2 linked regions of the Lepisosteus oculatus genome follow. The protein of the gene in region 2 interacts with the protein of the main gene of each other region in a biochemical or structural test. Links are inferred from orthologs where the notes say so. Each region holds a gene or a part of one and is shown on either strand. Other genes may lie near its edges.

The links.
Region 1: the proteins of crebbpa (region 2) and hoxb7a form a complex in vitro, tested with the Homo sapiens proteins (2 studies listed by BioGRID). The link is inferred for Lepisosteus oculatus from reciprocal best matches to the Homo sapiens genes CREBBP and HOXB7.

Annotation. Positions count from the first base shown.
Region 1 is NC_090723.1:9,324,748-9,332,821, forward strand, and holds the start of hoxb7a (homeobox protein Hox-B7a), read right to left. Parts: upstream 3,058-8,074; 5' UTR 2,394-3,057; coding exon 1,985-2,393; intron 1-1,984. Other genes in the region: hoxb8a (homeobox protein Hox-B8a), read right to left, coding at 4,612-4,928, 5,541-5,964. UniProt on the Homo sapiens protein: Sequence-specific transcription factor which is part of a developmental regulatory system that provides cells with specific positional identities on the anterior-posterior axis.
Region 2 is NC_090714.1:3,324,957-3,332,598, forward strand, and holds the start of crebbpa (CREB-binding protein), read right to left. Parts: upstream 3,027-7,642; 5' UTR 2,192-3,026; coding exon 2,104-2,191; intron 1-2,103. UniProt on the Homo sapiens protein: Acetylates histones, giving a specific tag for transcriptional activation. Mediates acetylation of histone H3 at 'Lys-18' and 'Lys-27' (H3K18ac and H3K27ac, respectively).

The sequences.
Region 1 (8,074 bases), on a different chromosome or scaffold from region 2:
CTGACTATCGCTGTCTCCGAGGCGAGCCTCTTAACAACAGCAGCGTGTTGATCTATAACTTGCATAAACAGCACGAGTTACTGTATCAGAAGTGTTCAATTGTGGAACAGAGACAAAACCCCTGACCAGCTGGAATCAAATATGAAAATCTAGACGTTTCTTAGATCTGTTTCTTTGAACTATTATTCTTAGGAAAGCTTCATAAAACCCCTGGGTTGTTATCAATGTCGAAATGTTAAACTGTAAGTAGTATGTACATATATTCAAACTGAACACTCCACACAGACGTCAGATGTTATTTTTTTTTACAAATATTCGAAGCAGAGCTAGTTCAGCTACAGGCCCCTAGGAAACAATGCTGCCCCGACACACCTTTTGCTAATATTTAATTGCAACGCAATAATTTAAAAAAAACTAACTGAACATTCATTTTGTGAACCGCCCTTCCATTAAAATGTATACAGTATACTGGATTAAACGATTATGAAGAGTTCATCACTGATGGGAAATTATTTTCATTAACATATAGCGGGCCTACTTGCTAACCGAAGCTTGAAGGTGCAACTGGATTCAAAAGGAGGGGTTGTAGGTCACATTCTTGACTGGGAGATGGATCCAAAATGGCAAAAAAAAAAAACCGTGAAACTTTTTATTGCTTAGGAATAATACGGAAAATGAAGATATTTACACCTGAAGAGAAATCGTCTGTATTTATGTTCATATAGAATATCATTACTGGCACTTGTGGGGCCCCACTGGAAGTGTGTGTCAATGAGTAGTTGTTTATTAATGTCCTAAGACGAGCTAATGAAGACGTATCTCTTTTAAAACTATTAAGTCTTGCTATATCACCACCCCGGCGGCTAACGAGAGAGAGAAGTTGCTCTTGTTGACAATGTACTGTTGCTAACTTTCCGCGGGCTGGGGCCAAAACTGCAGTGAAAGCCGATTGCTGTCATAGAAGATCTTCAGACCTAATTAATCACGAGATTTAAAATACACCGGGACACGCGGCTGCTGTTCTTTCTGGCTCTGGGGGCATTCAGAGATTGCAGAACACGCAAATGGACAAAAAACATACAAAACCAAAAACATCTCATTTCCGAACTACAGTTATTGCATTTGCTACCGATCGGTTAATTTTTTTTAAAAAAAGGCCAACACAGACCGAGTGGATTAGCTAATGATATTGACGTGTAGCATGAAAGAAAATACGTGTTACTTCTCCACGGCTTTCTGGTGGCCGCGGCCGCAGCCCTCCGAACATCAAAGGCGTGGAGGAAGAACATATTACGGCTTGACTCGAACGCTTGGAAAATCAAAAAGAATTTCTGTGTACAGGGCATGCAAACCCTTCACACCCCCCGGTAATCGGAGAGCATTTGTCAACAGCAACAGAAGAAGCCATTCGCGATTCGCTCACCGTTCTAAACAATATAACTCCACCGAACGAGAAAACATTTTTTTTTTTTACAGGCAAAACTGTGCTGGCTAAAAAAATAACCCTACAAGCTTTTACTAGATCCCGCAATTTGAACGAGGGGGAAAAAAAGAACAGCGCAAACATACGAATTTTTTTTTTCGTATAGATTTTTTTTTTTTAAATAGACGAGGGCACCCTTAGTATACGGCGTCGGTAAAACCAGATCCACATCAGAAGGCAGATCTGTCGTTACTCCGTTTCGAAATTCAGGCACAGAGACCCGCCGAAGTCAGGCTGAGGAATCCGGTGCATTCTCCACAACACTCTCTGTAATGAATATGCAAAGGACTAATATTATAGCTTTATGGGGGGGTCGTATAGCAATAAAAGATCTGCTTTAGCAAAACGTCATAAAGGCGACTCGACACTGCGCAATTAAAGCGTTTTTAAAACCACAATTTAAAAGGTCGCTTTGTCTTGGCGAGGAGTGCTTCATCATTGTTGTTAGTTCCATGCAACGAATAGCCTTCCCCCCCCCCTCCGACACCAACAATCACATACCTGTGCTTCTCATCCAGGGATAGATCCGGAAGTTGGCTTCGTTCTGCTGCTCAGCGTCTCCGTGCTCTGCTTTGCCGCCGCACGCCTGCTTGGAGGGCTCCCCGGCGCAGACCATGGGCAGGTTCTGATCGAAGGGCGAGCAGTGCATGTTGAAGGAGCCCGTGTTGAGGCCGTAGCCGGCCGAATACACGCTCTGGTTCGGGGGATGCACGCTGCCTCCGTTGCTGTACAGCCCCGGCATAGAGGAAGGGAAGCTAGTGGCACCGTTGCCCGAGACATAGCCGCCGGTTCGCTGAGAACTGGGCGCAAAAGCGCAAGAAGTTTGCTCGGGGAAGACCCCAGCTGGGAACACCGAACTTGCAGCTTGGTATTTGGAGAATAAAGCATTCGCATAATACAATGAACTCATAATTTGGCCGGGTGATTTGTAGGCCGGGACGTTTTAGTGTCGGTTTTACGAGGTACCGTGATATATTACGGAATTAAAGTCCAGATTTACACCAAAAAGCACCCCTTTTTCCTCAGGGTTCACGTGACAGGGGGCACGTGACTCGCGGTGGTCCAATGGAAAGGGGGCTTCCCAGATCTTCGGCGCTGTGGAAAATCTGAAGTACGGCTCAGATTAGAAAATGTTAAATAATTTACGTTATGTAACCTAAAGATCCGCGTGTGCAAGAGGCAAGAGCTCGCAAACACAAATCGATAAACTACAGCCTGGACCGTAATCCGTTCTGTCCCGGGGAGCGAGATTGGAGTGTGCTGGGGTCGGTGGAGGTGCAGAGAGGAAGAAAAATCAGATTTAAGAACGTACTCCACCATTTGCGAGGCATCACATACATAAAGAGAAACCTATTTATTGCAGCATCGATTTTCTCCTCGAAACATCGTCCTGCGAATATACCCCCCCTCTCCCTCTCTCTCCCCACACACGGCGCTCTGTCCCTGCTATCTGGGCGAGCGCTTCTCTCCCGGCTGCCGGTGTGTCTGTCGGCTCGTCCGGGGCTCCAGCTAATGAGTTAGACTCTGTTGCAGAGTTTCTGCCTCAGAGCATCCATTTACACCGGCCGCACAAAAGCTCGTGGTTTCCAGCAATGAGGATGAAACTCGGATTTTTTTTTCCACCTCCAGGAACGTTTGACGCACAAACCCCCCCCCCCCCCCTCCTCCACCAAAGACCCCCCCGGCCCCCAATAAAAGAGTTTTAAATGAACACGTGATTCCGTTCCGAAGATGTTCCATTAGAAGAACTTATGGGTACAGCTGAACGCGAATACAGCTCGGAGTGCATAATAACTGTAATGATATCACCGCCTGTGATGCGTTAATAGGCCTATGGGCCATTGATACACGAGTATCCCGGTATTAACGCCTGTTCCTTTTCTTTGTGATTGTGAGGTGTCTTTACCCGACTGCTGCCACAACCATAATAAAAGGTTTCACAGGTCTGGTTTACCAAATCATTCAGATTTTAGTGCTCCGTCCGCCACAGTCGCCCAATACAAAGTCGGACGCGAGTAACTATCGGTACCTAGTCGTATATCGTGTTGGGGTTTTGTTTTACTTAAAATTGATTTTTTTTAAAAAAGGCAACTTAAATCGCAAATAAATTTGCTCTCATATTGGAGTGAGCTTAGGTCTGGATCATCTTATTCTACTGTCAGCGAGGGGTGGGGGGCTTTTCTCAGGCCGGGAATAGAAGACGAAGGCTTTTGCGCCCCCGTTTGCCTCTCGTCTTGTGGGGGAACTGTGGGGACGGGGCTATGTGGGGTGTCTGTGGAAAGACAGGGGCCCGACCAGAGGATCACCTCGACAGAGAGGAAGCAGGAGGACAGCTGTGCCGTCACGGGATTTCGCTTGTAAACTTTATTGTGTCCTTCTCTTCCGCAGCCTCCAGGCTTTGACAATAGAACAGAGCAGTGAAGAACAATCAAGCGAGTCACCAGGCCTCCATAAACTAATTCACGAGTACAGTATACATTCTGGTTCACAGTTAACGAAAGATCACCTTACAGTCTGTTCAATTACTATTATGCACTGTGCGCATGCTTAGTCCCAAACTTGAAAAAAAAACCAAACAAGAACAACAAAATATTATTAATTAAAACAGACTAATCGAAGGACAGAACATAAAAAAAACAGAATAACCTACAGCATAAATAGGCAGTTTCATGTTGTTGGGAATTCATTATTTGCTACGTTATTAGAATACCATGAATGAGAACGATAAAAAGTGCACCATATAACATAATAAAAAAAAAACTATACAGCTGCCAAATGTAATTGTTAATGATGATATCCTAACAATAAAAAGGTTTCACATTTAAGTCTTCCACAAATAAGAAAGCTATTTTGTTTCTCGTTACACTACGATATTTTTTCCGACATCTGGTAAAAAGTAGAAATATTTCTTTCCGTGGGATAACAGTTTTCGCTTCATCAAACGAATCTTACACTTGATACAATAACGCCTCCGCCAGTTCTTGTTTCCCTATATATATATATTCCACAGCATTTTATACAAGGAACGCGAGAAGGTTACAGTGTTGCTCTGAGAAAGCGGCGCGCTGTATCGCCTCAGTCGGTGGCCTTTAGCTGTCTTCCTCCGCTCGTCCATTTCTGGGGCTCGCCTAAATCTGTTTCTCTTTCTCCCCGTCTTCCTCGGCCGTCTGCTCCCCCTCCGCTTTCTCCTTCTCCTTCTTCTGTTTCTCTATTTCCTCCTGCTCCGATTTGCTGCTGGGGAATTTGTCCTTGTTGTTCTCCTTTTTCCACTTCATCCGCCGGTTCTGAAACCAGATCTTGACCTGGCGCTCGGTCAGTCCCAGGGCGTGCGACACCTCGATCCGCCGCTTGCGGGTCAGGTACGGGTTGAAGAGGAACTCCTTCTCCAGCTCCAGCGTCTGGTAGCGGCTGTAGGTCTGCCGGCCTCGCCTCCGTCCGGCAGCTACTGGGAAGAGAAGCGGGCGACACGTTTTAGAAAAGACGAGCATCAGAATTCAGGCACATTGTGAAAACCACCTTCCTGGAGGCAGCCTTTCAACGAGACCACCAGTCCGGCCACACTAATATTTTATTCGCTTTTCCTGGTCCAGTTGTGATGAACCTCAAGCGTACCTCTTGCACAAGTGCACAATCCACATACAAAAACGCGTGTGTATAGTTATATATATAGCATATGTTCGTACATCACGTTACACACACAGTAACTGGAATACACACTCTGCACTCTGATAGGGCATATCAGAGGAAGAAACTTTGTCAATACAAACAGACACAGATGCAGGCTAGTGATCCCCCACATGGAGAGAGAAGGAAGCCGAGGGGAGACAGTGCCCCTTTCTGCTAGGGCCATTAAACTATAAAGTGATTCACAAGTTTGGACACCATAAAACGGTAAAGAAAACAACATGCTATTGTCTCTATTCCCACTCACAGGAAATACCAGCTTTATGGTCGCTGAGAATTTCTCTCTCTCTCTACCTCCCTCCCTCTCTTTATAGTTACGCTACCCTTCCCTGCGACCCGCGCCGCCGCCTCTCCAGTCCTGTTCCGGTCTCACCTTGAGGTCTCATCCAGGGGAAGAGTTGCGTGGGAGACGGGCTCTGCTCGGCGCTCTCCGTGTCGTCCGCGATGCTGCTCGCCGCCAGCTTGCAGTCGCTGTACTGCACGAGGTCAGCCTCCTGGCTCCCGAAGAGCGTCTGCCTTTGCAAAGCGTCGTAGCCATAGAAGTTCCCCGGCTCCCCGTGACAGGTCACGGCACACGGGCTCTGCTGGTAAGGGGTGGCGGAGAGCGTGGACGCGCCGTGGTGATAAAACTCCTGAATCTGAGTTGGATGTTGGAAAGTTCCACCGGTACCGGGTCCATAGACTACAGTGGGTCTGTTCCCCAGTTCCTGCGTGAAACCACACTCGTAATAATTAGGACGTAAGGAATCGCCGCTTTTATATTTGGAGAAAAGAGAGTTGACAAAATAAGAGCTCATGTTTTTTTGTACGTTGTTGGCCGCTGTTGCTGTGTCTTTTGTTGTTGTTGTTGTTGTTGTTGTTTAGGAGCCGGAGTTTCTCATATAACCCCCCAAAAAATAAATAAATAAATCAGCGTTTCTCGGGATTGCGGCGCCAACACTCAGGGAATCCCAAGAATGCCTTTTTTTTAAGAACTCCTTTTAAATTTTCAAGCCACTATCATTGTCGACTTCCATAAAATCGCCACCACTCGGCTCTACCGCATTACAATTCCAGTAAGGGTTGCCAGTTCATAAACAGTTTTCCGTGATTTACTCAGCCGCAAATGAGTTGTTTCATATTTTGCAGTGTCTTTTCAGGATAATTTGCATCTATTATCGGATCTTCATCCCATTGGCTTCGGCGTTTCCACACGGACACTGCACTGCGCGATTGTGTTGTGGAGAGAGGGAGAGACGGAGACAGCGAGGGGAAGAGAGGGAAGAGAGGGAGGGCTTGGGGGGGGTGTGAGAGAGAGGGAGAGAGAGGAGGGGAGAATTTGCACATTAATATATTCAACCGGCTTAGTTAATGAGATATCTGCCGCTTTGCATCAGATCTGGAGCACGCGCCGTCTCCCCCTTCCCACCCCCCGAAAAAAAAGACTGATTTTAAAGGAGTCGCTGATAGTCAAACTGAAAAGAGACGCACTCCGTCGTTAATTTTGAAATTCTAACGAGGTGGATTCGCCTCGCTCTCTTTTTTTTCTCTCCCTAAATGTCAGGGTCGCATTGGCAAATTGTGAAAGTACACGACTTAATTACTATCAGTTTTAACGGGTCCTATAAACGTAATTGGCGTTCTAGAACAACTTGTCAAAAGCGCCGAACTCCGGCGGCTGCGGCACAGGCGAGGCAGACGGGGGTAGTAATATTTAACATTTTAATGATCATATTTTTATAAATATGTTATTGATAAAGATTTAAAGGCCTCGGAAAGGGAAAGTGCTGCTTGTGTAATAGACAAAGCGGCTGTAAACGGTTTAACAAACTATAAAATGTAATAAAACGCCAAGGTTGCCTGTAGAGTGTACGGTGTAGACGGAGAAGGAGGGGATAGAAAAGGCTGTTAAGATTTTATGAGGTTCCACGACTAGCGCTATAAAATAAAGGTTTCACTTGGAGCTACCCCACTGATGCAGAAATCCTCAAGTATTTAATTGTCATTTTATTGTGTTTTCAATACGAAGCATCATTGCTATGTGTTTTGTTATAGAAAACCCGATATTTTAACTAACATTGTTCCCAGGTGCTCGCACACAGGACCCGTGGTCGAATACTTTTCCAATATGGATTGGCTAATATTCCGCCTTAAGAGGCCGTAAAAATTGAGTTTTGCCTAAGCCCCTATTAACGAGAATAATGCTCGTTTTATTTAGTACGGTGATTCATTCATAACAGAGAAAAGCTACATTTCAAACTTGCACATATCGCAGATTTCATTTCAAATCAAAGCAAACCCAGTATCCGGGATTTGACGAGGGAGTTCAGTTTATTTGTTGTCAGCATTTTACAGTTTTTTCCTCTAAATTTGAAAAGACATATGGCGATAATTAGGATGAGATTCGTATTCAGTATAATAGTGCTGAATGGGCACAACAAAGCAGAAGCGACTTGAAGCGAAATTATTCATAGGGGTGCCAGTGTACATACAACTATGAGATAACAGGGAATATTCTCGCAAATTGCGTGTGTTTGTGTATGAGCAGGACTATTAATACGAATAAAACACAGAAGCACGCACGAGTTTATCTAAATAATATGCTGGGAGTTTGTGAACCCTAATGTTTCTGCAAAGTGACACAGTACGCCGCATTGTTCATTTTCGTCCTTGTGAAAATTTCTTGCTTCTAAGGCAATTAGCACGGAATATTAAGAAGGCTTCAATAAGTGCGTGACATTACTGATTGTGTAATACATAAGCTAACAATCTAAAAGTAAAAAAACTTCATCCGTGAATTTGAATGAGTGTTCGTTTAAGTAAAACAGTCCTGTCCTAGTGCTGCTGTCTCACTCTGTGTGTCGAAATCTCCCAGTTTTTTTGTCTGACTATTAATACGAAACAAAAATGAAATTTGTCTCTTTGATC
Region 2 (7,642 bases):
AGGTTTTACTTCACCACACCTTGGTGGAACAGTAAAACGGAGGGTAGGGATATTTCTGTTATTCTAAAGTTGAAAAGGGTCCAGATACAGTGAAAGTGTATTTTAAATAGACCAATACACGTTTTAACAACGCACTTGCTGGCACAAGGTAATGTTTAAAACCCAGAAAAGCCTCTCTTTGCTGGATAGAAAACACAATTAACGCAAATGGGAACTTAGTTCACTCTTCTGGCATGACCGCTCAATGAATATAACTGAATCAGACCTTAAGCCGTGGAAAAACGTGCAAGTGTCGCTCTCCTAAACCCAGACTGACAGCAGGCGCTGGGCTTTAAATCCGTCAAATGCCCCCTTAATTAGGTAGACAATGGACGGCTATAGTCCAAGCACAAGCTGTTAAAGTTCACTTTTAATGATTCCGATCCGACCAATCACAGCAGCTTTCAAATTACAGCGCTCTCCTGCCTCCACGCCCACGTCAGCTTACGCGCAATCGAGATGCCAGCACCGTACCGGCGTGACTTTCCCCGGCACTGTTGCCCGTCGTGACCGGTTGGGATGGCGCACCGGTTGTCCGACAGCACAGCGAGGGTCTGCACACTTGTGGAAAGCTAACATACGAGAGTTTCCACCCTCCCAGGCCGAGAGATCTCCCTCCACACAGCCTGCAGGGGCACGCCAGGAGCGCCAGCGGAGCTCCTGTCTCCGGCCAAGAGCGCACGGCGTCACGCCCCCCTCGGCTTACAGGACACAGACCAAACCGTTTCGTTTTCAGAAAGCAGAACTGAGGGGATCCCCGAATTAAACAGTGTTTTGGCGATCAGATCGGGAGGAGGGGTGGAGGGACGGGCAGGGTGGAGGATCCACAAACCACACGCGGGACAGACTCCGACGACCGACCAACCAACCGGGTGCGACCCAGCCCGGAGTCCCGTCCACCACCACCGTTTCTCAAACCAGCCGTGTCAATCAGATCGATCAGTGGCTCAGCCGCTGACTGACAGGCGCAAGCCCTCCCCTCCAGCGCTACACCCGATGCACGCTTCTCCCTGCCGGTGTCATAGCCGCTTCGCCTTGCAATGAAACACCGCCTCCCGGGCAACAAACTCCGGCTCCGGCCAGGACCCGGGACCCAGCGCCAGGGGGCCCGGCCGCCGCTTCGGCACCGGGGCAGGGGGGTGGATCGTTTCGGATACCGAGAGGGGGAAGAGCAATACAAGACGTCGCTCTTGTCATGCTCTTGCATGTCCATCCTCGGCTTGTGAAGCGCAGGCTGCTGGCGCTGCCCAGGTGGTCCGCTGTCAACGGCACGGCTGCACCCAGGTCTCCTACGAAAGGCCACGATCTTGCCCAACATGAAAGGACAGGGAGCTGTCCAGCGAGTCCCCGCGGTCACTTCAATATTTTTTGTAGGGGGGTGGGGGGGAGTATGAATTTTGACGCACGGCACCACATCTCGCTGCCGTGCAGAGTCGACAACAAACGCCACCACCACGGGGACTTTTCTCGATCAAAACCTGGCTACGACCACCACATTCAACCGCACAACAAACAAACAAAAAACGCATCTGACATCGGCACCTCAAATCGCGACGTCAAAGAGTCTGTTTTGCAGCCGACCACCAACCGACACGAAGCGGGGCATCAGAGGGTCGGTAGAGGAGACGGTGTAGGTGGTGGTGGTGGTGGTGGGGGGGGGCATGCTCATTTTTTGGCATAGGGGAAAAAAATCTCATAACGCCGAAAGGCACACCGCCACCACCCACCAAACACTGTCCCCTGCAGCCGGGCCATGCACACGGCGGAGACCCAGCACACGGGCAAAACGCACACCTTCCCCGTTTCCACGCCTCTGCCGCCCAGCCTTGGCACCACAAGAGCGGGGAGCCGATTGCGCGCAGCGCCCAGCAAGAGGCACAGCCGGGGTGCTCCCGATCGAGCCCCAGTTCAGAAGAGACACCAGCACCACCACCCAAAGGCGATACGCACACGCACACACTCCAGAAGGAAAGTATTGCGATGCAAAGGTGCGCACGGAGCCGTGTCGCACACGCCGGCGGTGACACTGTCACGCCGGGGAGCCGGGGGGCAGTCGGGCCTTACCTGGACCGTCGGAGGCGGACAGGGCAGGTGAATTCAGCTTCGGCCGCTTCGGGTTGGGAGGTCCGACGTCAAGCAGGTTCTCGGCCATGGCGATCGACTCGGATCGTTAGATGTGATTGGGTTATTTTTTTTTCTAAATAGGGGGGGGGGAGGGATCGGTGGCCCCCCAAAAAATAATAATAATAATCCCCACCCCCCGAGAAAAAAATCAAAACCAAAAAGAGAGCAACCCCTCCACGCTCGCCTCCTCTCTACTCTCCGTTTGCAGGAGCGAAATAATCAAGGCGAAATTCTCAAAAAAGTAGCTACAGCGCCCCGCTTCGCCAAAACCATTCACCCCATGATAATCCAACACCCAACACCCACATTATTATCAATAATAATTACCTCCGATGAAAAATATTTTTTTCGAAGGAACAAAGGGCACAAAAAATTAAATACGATCTCCCCGATGGATTTTTTGGTCGTTTTCGTGCCTGCGGAGTGCGCTAAATTCGCATCTTTAAATACCCCCTTTTTTCTGACGTCAATTTAATTGCCTAAAAACCCCCTTCTGCCGGCGAAAAAAATGCGCCGGTGCAAAAAAAAAATATTTCACGGCGCTATTTCGCCCCTTCCCCGCTGTCTGTCCGCCGGCTGCTCCCGGTAAACAATACGGCTGCGAACCAAGATACGGAGCGAAGCGGCGCTTTCTGAAGGGGAAATCAGATATATGGGGGGTTTTCTGGCCGATGAAAACCGACCCAATCTCCGTTTTTTCTCACGAAATGTCTTCGAAGGCGTCTAAGCTTTTCGTTTTCGGCAGAAGAAACCCGTTTGGCCTCGGTTCGGATGTTCCGGTTCTCAATAAAAAATAATGCTCTCCCGAAATCCTGACTCCGAGCCGCGACAAGATGGCGGCTGTTGATTCCTTCGATACAAAAAGTTTTTTTTCCAGATAGACCGCGAGGGGGAGGGGCCGCGCAATCACGCCCTACGCACGGCTCTGCCGTGCGTCACACGGAAACTGACGAAGATGCCTCTAGGGGCGGAAATACCCGAATGTCTCGAATTGAAAAGGGTTGTTTAGACGGGTGTTACGGACGTGTAGCGTGTGTGAAACGCTTCGAAAGGGGGTGTTCTCATTGAATTGTTTCTAGGAATGCGTTGTACAGACTCTGATCAAGCGGCCAAAGTATGTGATCTGAGCATTTCCAGTAAATGCTCAGATCACTCTGTTAATTTTCTGCACATTGATGGTGGTGGAGGGGAGTCCCCATTACCTGTAAAGCGCTTTGAGTGGAGTGTCCAGAAAAGCGCTATATAAGTGTAAGCAATTATTATTATATGTCCAAAAAAATTTATTTTCCCATGCTAATCCAAATGGTCTCTAGCAAACCGACAAAAATAAACTCACTTTTCAATAACCTTGTCGGATGATACACGCAACGTCTTTATAGTCATATTTGTGAAAAGTCTACCAATGTGCGTATTACGCTGTAAAGATGATACATTCGCGTAGCACATCGTATCGTTTAATTATAGTTGTGTTTTTCCCCCACAAAAAAAATAGCAAATGCTCCCAAACAGAAAACGGCTCGCCGTTGCAACAGTTTGTGCCTATTTTAATCTTTGAAGGTGCAGGCTATTGCAAATACTGTAAAAACACTGTATCCCTACGCAAAGACAAGTTAAATTGGTTTAATTAAGACTGCTTTTCAGCTGCATCAGCACAACAGCAACACCTGAAATTGATCAACCACTACACGGCTGGAGTCTGATATCTTGGAGGTCATTCCCCATGTCCATGATACTGCAACAAACCGATTTTACTACTCAACATTGCATCAGTTGCATAAATCTCATTAATACATCAGATAGCAAAAACCGTTGAGTATGTTGTTGTGTATGTTAGTCAGTTGTGGCTGTCATTATTATTTTTTTGTAATGGACTGTGCAGATTGTGGGGTTTTGTCTATTGTACTGTGCATGTCACAGGAGAACTGTGAGAATTTACATGTGCATCTCGCAAATAAACTCTTCTCTCTCAATGTATAGGAGGGGACCCATTTTGTCCACCACTGGAGAGCAGACTCACCTGAGAGATCAGCACTAGCAGAATAGGTGACGCAGTGAGAAAATTCTCCTCCTGCTGGGCTGAGGAGAAAGTTTAAGGAGACACCACAAATAACACCAGTACTAAAGTAACGCCACAGTCCAGTCTGCAAGACCCATTTCTAATAGTTCAGGATAGTGTAGTCTAAATTTAGTAGAACACTTCACACTTCCAAGTCCAGGAACTTTGCCATCTCCACAATTCACTACGATACTGAGAAAAGCATAGCAGAAAAGTGAGAAACCTACCTGATACAACATCAAATGCAGCAAAAGCAGCATCACTAACAAATGGTTTGGGGGGATTGTAGATTTCTGAATGGAAAATTAAGATCAGATATAAGGGTGGCATGGTGGCACAGTCATGAGCACCACTGCCTTGCAGCCCTGGGTTCATTTCCTGGGGTACTGTCTGTGTGGAGTTTGCATGTTCCCCCCTGTGATAGCATGGGTTTCCTCTGGGTGCTCCGGTGTCTTCCCACAGTCCAAAGACATACTGGCAGGGTAACTGGCTTCTGGGAAAATTGTCCCTGGTGTGAGCGTGCGTGCCGTGAGATGGACTGGTGTCCTGTCCAGGGTGTATCCTGGCTTGTGCCTGCTGCTTGCAGAATAGGCTCCATCACCCCCACAACCCTGAATTGGAGAAGCAGTTATTAAAAGTGATAAGATATATGATATACAATACACTTGTATATAACGTCTATGACTTACTTGCGTCGAATAAGATGCACAAATGTGGTCACCAGGTTCCCAAAAAAAAACACTCCTGCTCTGGATTCCGTTCAAAGAAGAGTCACAAGGTTAATTCTGACGCTGAGCACGGTCTCATAAGACAAGGAGCTAAATCTCTTCAGGGTTGAACAACGGAGGCTTTGCGTGAGTTTAAAATGGTGAGCAACATGGAAACAGCACACAAGTTGGCACGCAGGTGCCAGAGTTACAAGAGAAAATGGAAAACATTCTGCATCTGGGTCAAAGTCGGGCAGCATCTCTGTAACGAAAGGAGCGTGGGTGTCTGCAGTCCAACGGGACAAATTTTCAAAAGATTCCCCGGGATCTTTTAAGAAAACCCTGGAAGAGATCTCCAAGCCTCCCGCTTCCCAGTAACTCAAGAAGCAAAATGAGCTGTATCCTCAGACTTCCGTTTGTAGCAGCATTTGTTCTGGAGGACAAATGTTTCTGGAGAGGTTAATTGGTTTTAATCCCAACAGATCTCGAAATTACCCCCCCCACCAATAAACTGAGGGAAAGAATCATTTCTGGATAACTTCTAACCTGTTGCTCTGGAGTCCTCCAGGTCCAGGACTGGTCACTCCTGAACTAGACACCCTGGTCCTGGACATCACAGCGCAGTTCTGAGTCTGAATGACCGAGGTGGGGCACCTGTGCACAGGTAAGCGGTACTCACTGACTGAAAGCTCCACCTAGGACTTGGGCTCTTCAAAGGAGTCAGTGCCCTTCATCTCACTCCAGGACAGTCTGCAGACTTGTTACAGATACCCGTTTAATTGCCAATTTATTTGGCTGACACGTTGATTCAAAACGACTTATGTTTGCACTCATTTAAGCAGCAGAGTAGTTCACCGGAGCAATTCCAGTACTTTGTTCGAGGGTACAACAGAAGTATCACGCCTGGGATTTGAACACCACAACCCTCTATTTATGAATCTAGATACTCACAGGTAATACAGGACAGGATGTTAGCAAATGTTCTAGATAGAAGAAGGAAATCACTTTGCACTACTGTGCACTGGAAAACCCCCTCCGAGACTGGTATGCCACTGGATAAGATTCTGGGAGCAATTATCTACCACCAACAAAACAAAAACATTAATCAAATGGCCTTCTTTCCTTTGTAACTCTTACCTCGTTGATGACTTAATTGTGTGACTTGATGGCTTAATTGTTGTCAACAATTAATGGTGAACCGTCTGTAGATAGTGTGGATTTAAGGTTCTCTTTAGAACTTGTAAATCCGGACGCCTTACATTTCCCCCGTATTTATTCTTTTTGACGGATAAACTCTGACCGAAAGACACGGCTAACCTGCTTTTGTAGGTATCAGAGATCCGGCTCGATTTAGACACAAGTATCGCTGAATTTAATGCGATGACGGCAGTTTTCTCTGCTACATTTTAAGAGCGCAAGCGAAACAACGACAGGATATTTGCATCCCTCAAGTCAGCAGTGGTCCGTGAAGAGAATGTTTACAGTGTAAGAGCAACAGATACCAAACTAATAGAAAAGCAAGATACAGAAGGTGAACGTCGTAACTAAACTTCATCCTAGTAAGCAGGACACAGGCTATATAGGCTTTACAGTTTCCTAACATGGCACGTATTATGCAGGCTTATGTCAAAAACCGTTTCATAGTCGTAAACTGGTAATAATGCTTTTTTTGCTATGCTACGGACAGCGTTTTCACTTACCTTGCTAAGCCTTAGCTTAGGCGACTTTCAGTTATTTAAAACAATGTCCACAACTCGGAGCTTTAACACCGAACAATGGAGAAGCATTGCGATATTAAATGTTTCTCGACACATTCTGAAGAAGACAGCTGGAGTACCAATGATGGAAGGAATTTGTAACTGCGCTTTCAAACAAGATGTACTAAAACCACCCAGTCTTCCAGCCAACAGGAACGTGTGTGCTTTGTGATCAGTTGCACTAAAATATCTTTTGCAAAACCGCCCATTATTTACCTAATTAGCTCGTTTTTCAGGCAATTTAGCCCAATTTAATCTCTTAACGTTTCTTTAAAAGAACACCGCTGAACGTTTGCGAAATGCGTTCATGTCTCATTTTTCATTACAATTTTGCAGTCGATACAGCATGAATTGAGAGATGAAGTCGAGACGCTCCCATTCCCCATCATATGTTGCATTTAAAGGTTATGCATTAGGTATTCAGCTTAGCATTGTTTTCAAAATGTATGCCTTTTAATAAGAAGAGCAGCTCAAGGGTTGTGCGCAGTTAGCCCCATAAGAGTAACTCAAAACGTTACTCATAAGACAACTGTATGTTGCTGAGATCAAAAACGAAATAGTTGAACAAAGTTTCATGCTGTCTTCTTGCTCTGTTGACGCACAAGCGTCTAGACATCATTTTAACGACTCGAACTGCCTCAGCGCATTATTGGCCTTTTTAAATAATTAAAAGCAAACCCTGAATGGGATTCAGTGCGGACCTCTCACTCTCCTCCGGTGCTTAAAACGACCCATCTTTGAATATGCAAGGAGTAACTGTGCAGAAACGACGGATGAAAAAGGAGGAGTTTGTACACTGATTGTGAGCCCCTCTTTTCTGCTGAAATTAATTGCCTCGTTTATTACTAAAGAACGCCTGATAGCTTCAACACCGCTTGCGATTTAGAATCACCTCCACCTTCTTTCCCGTATGATCTGTATGAGCTTGACAATCTTACGTTGTTTTTTTATTTAAAAAA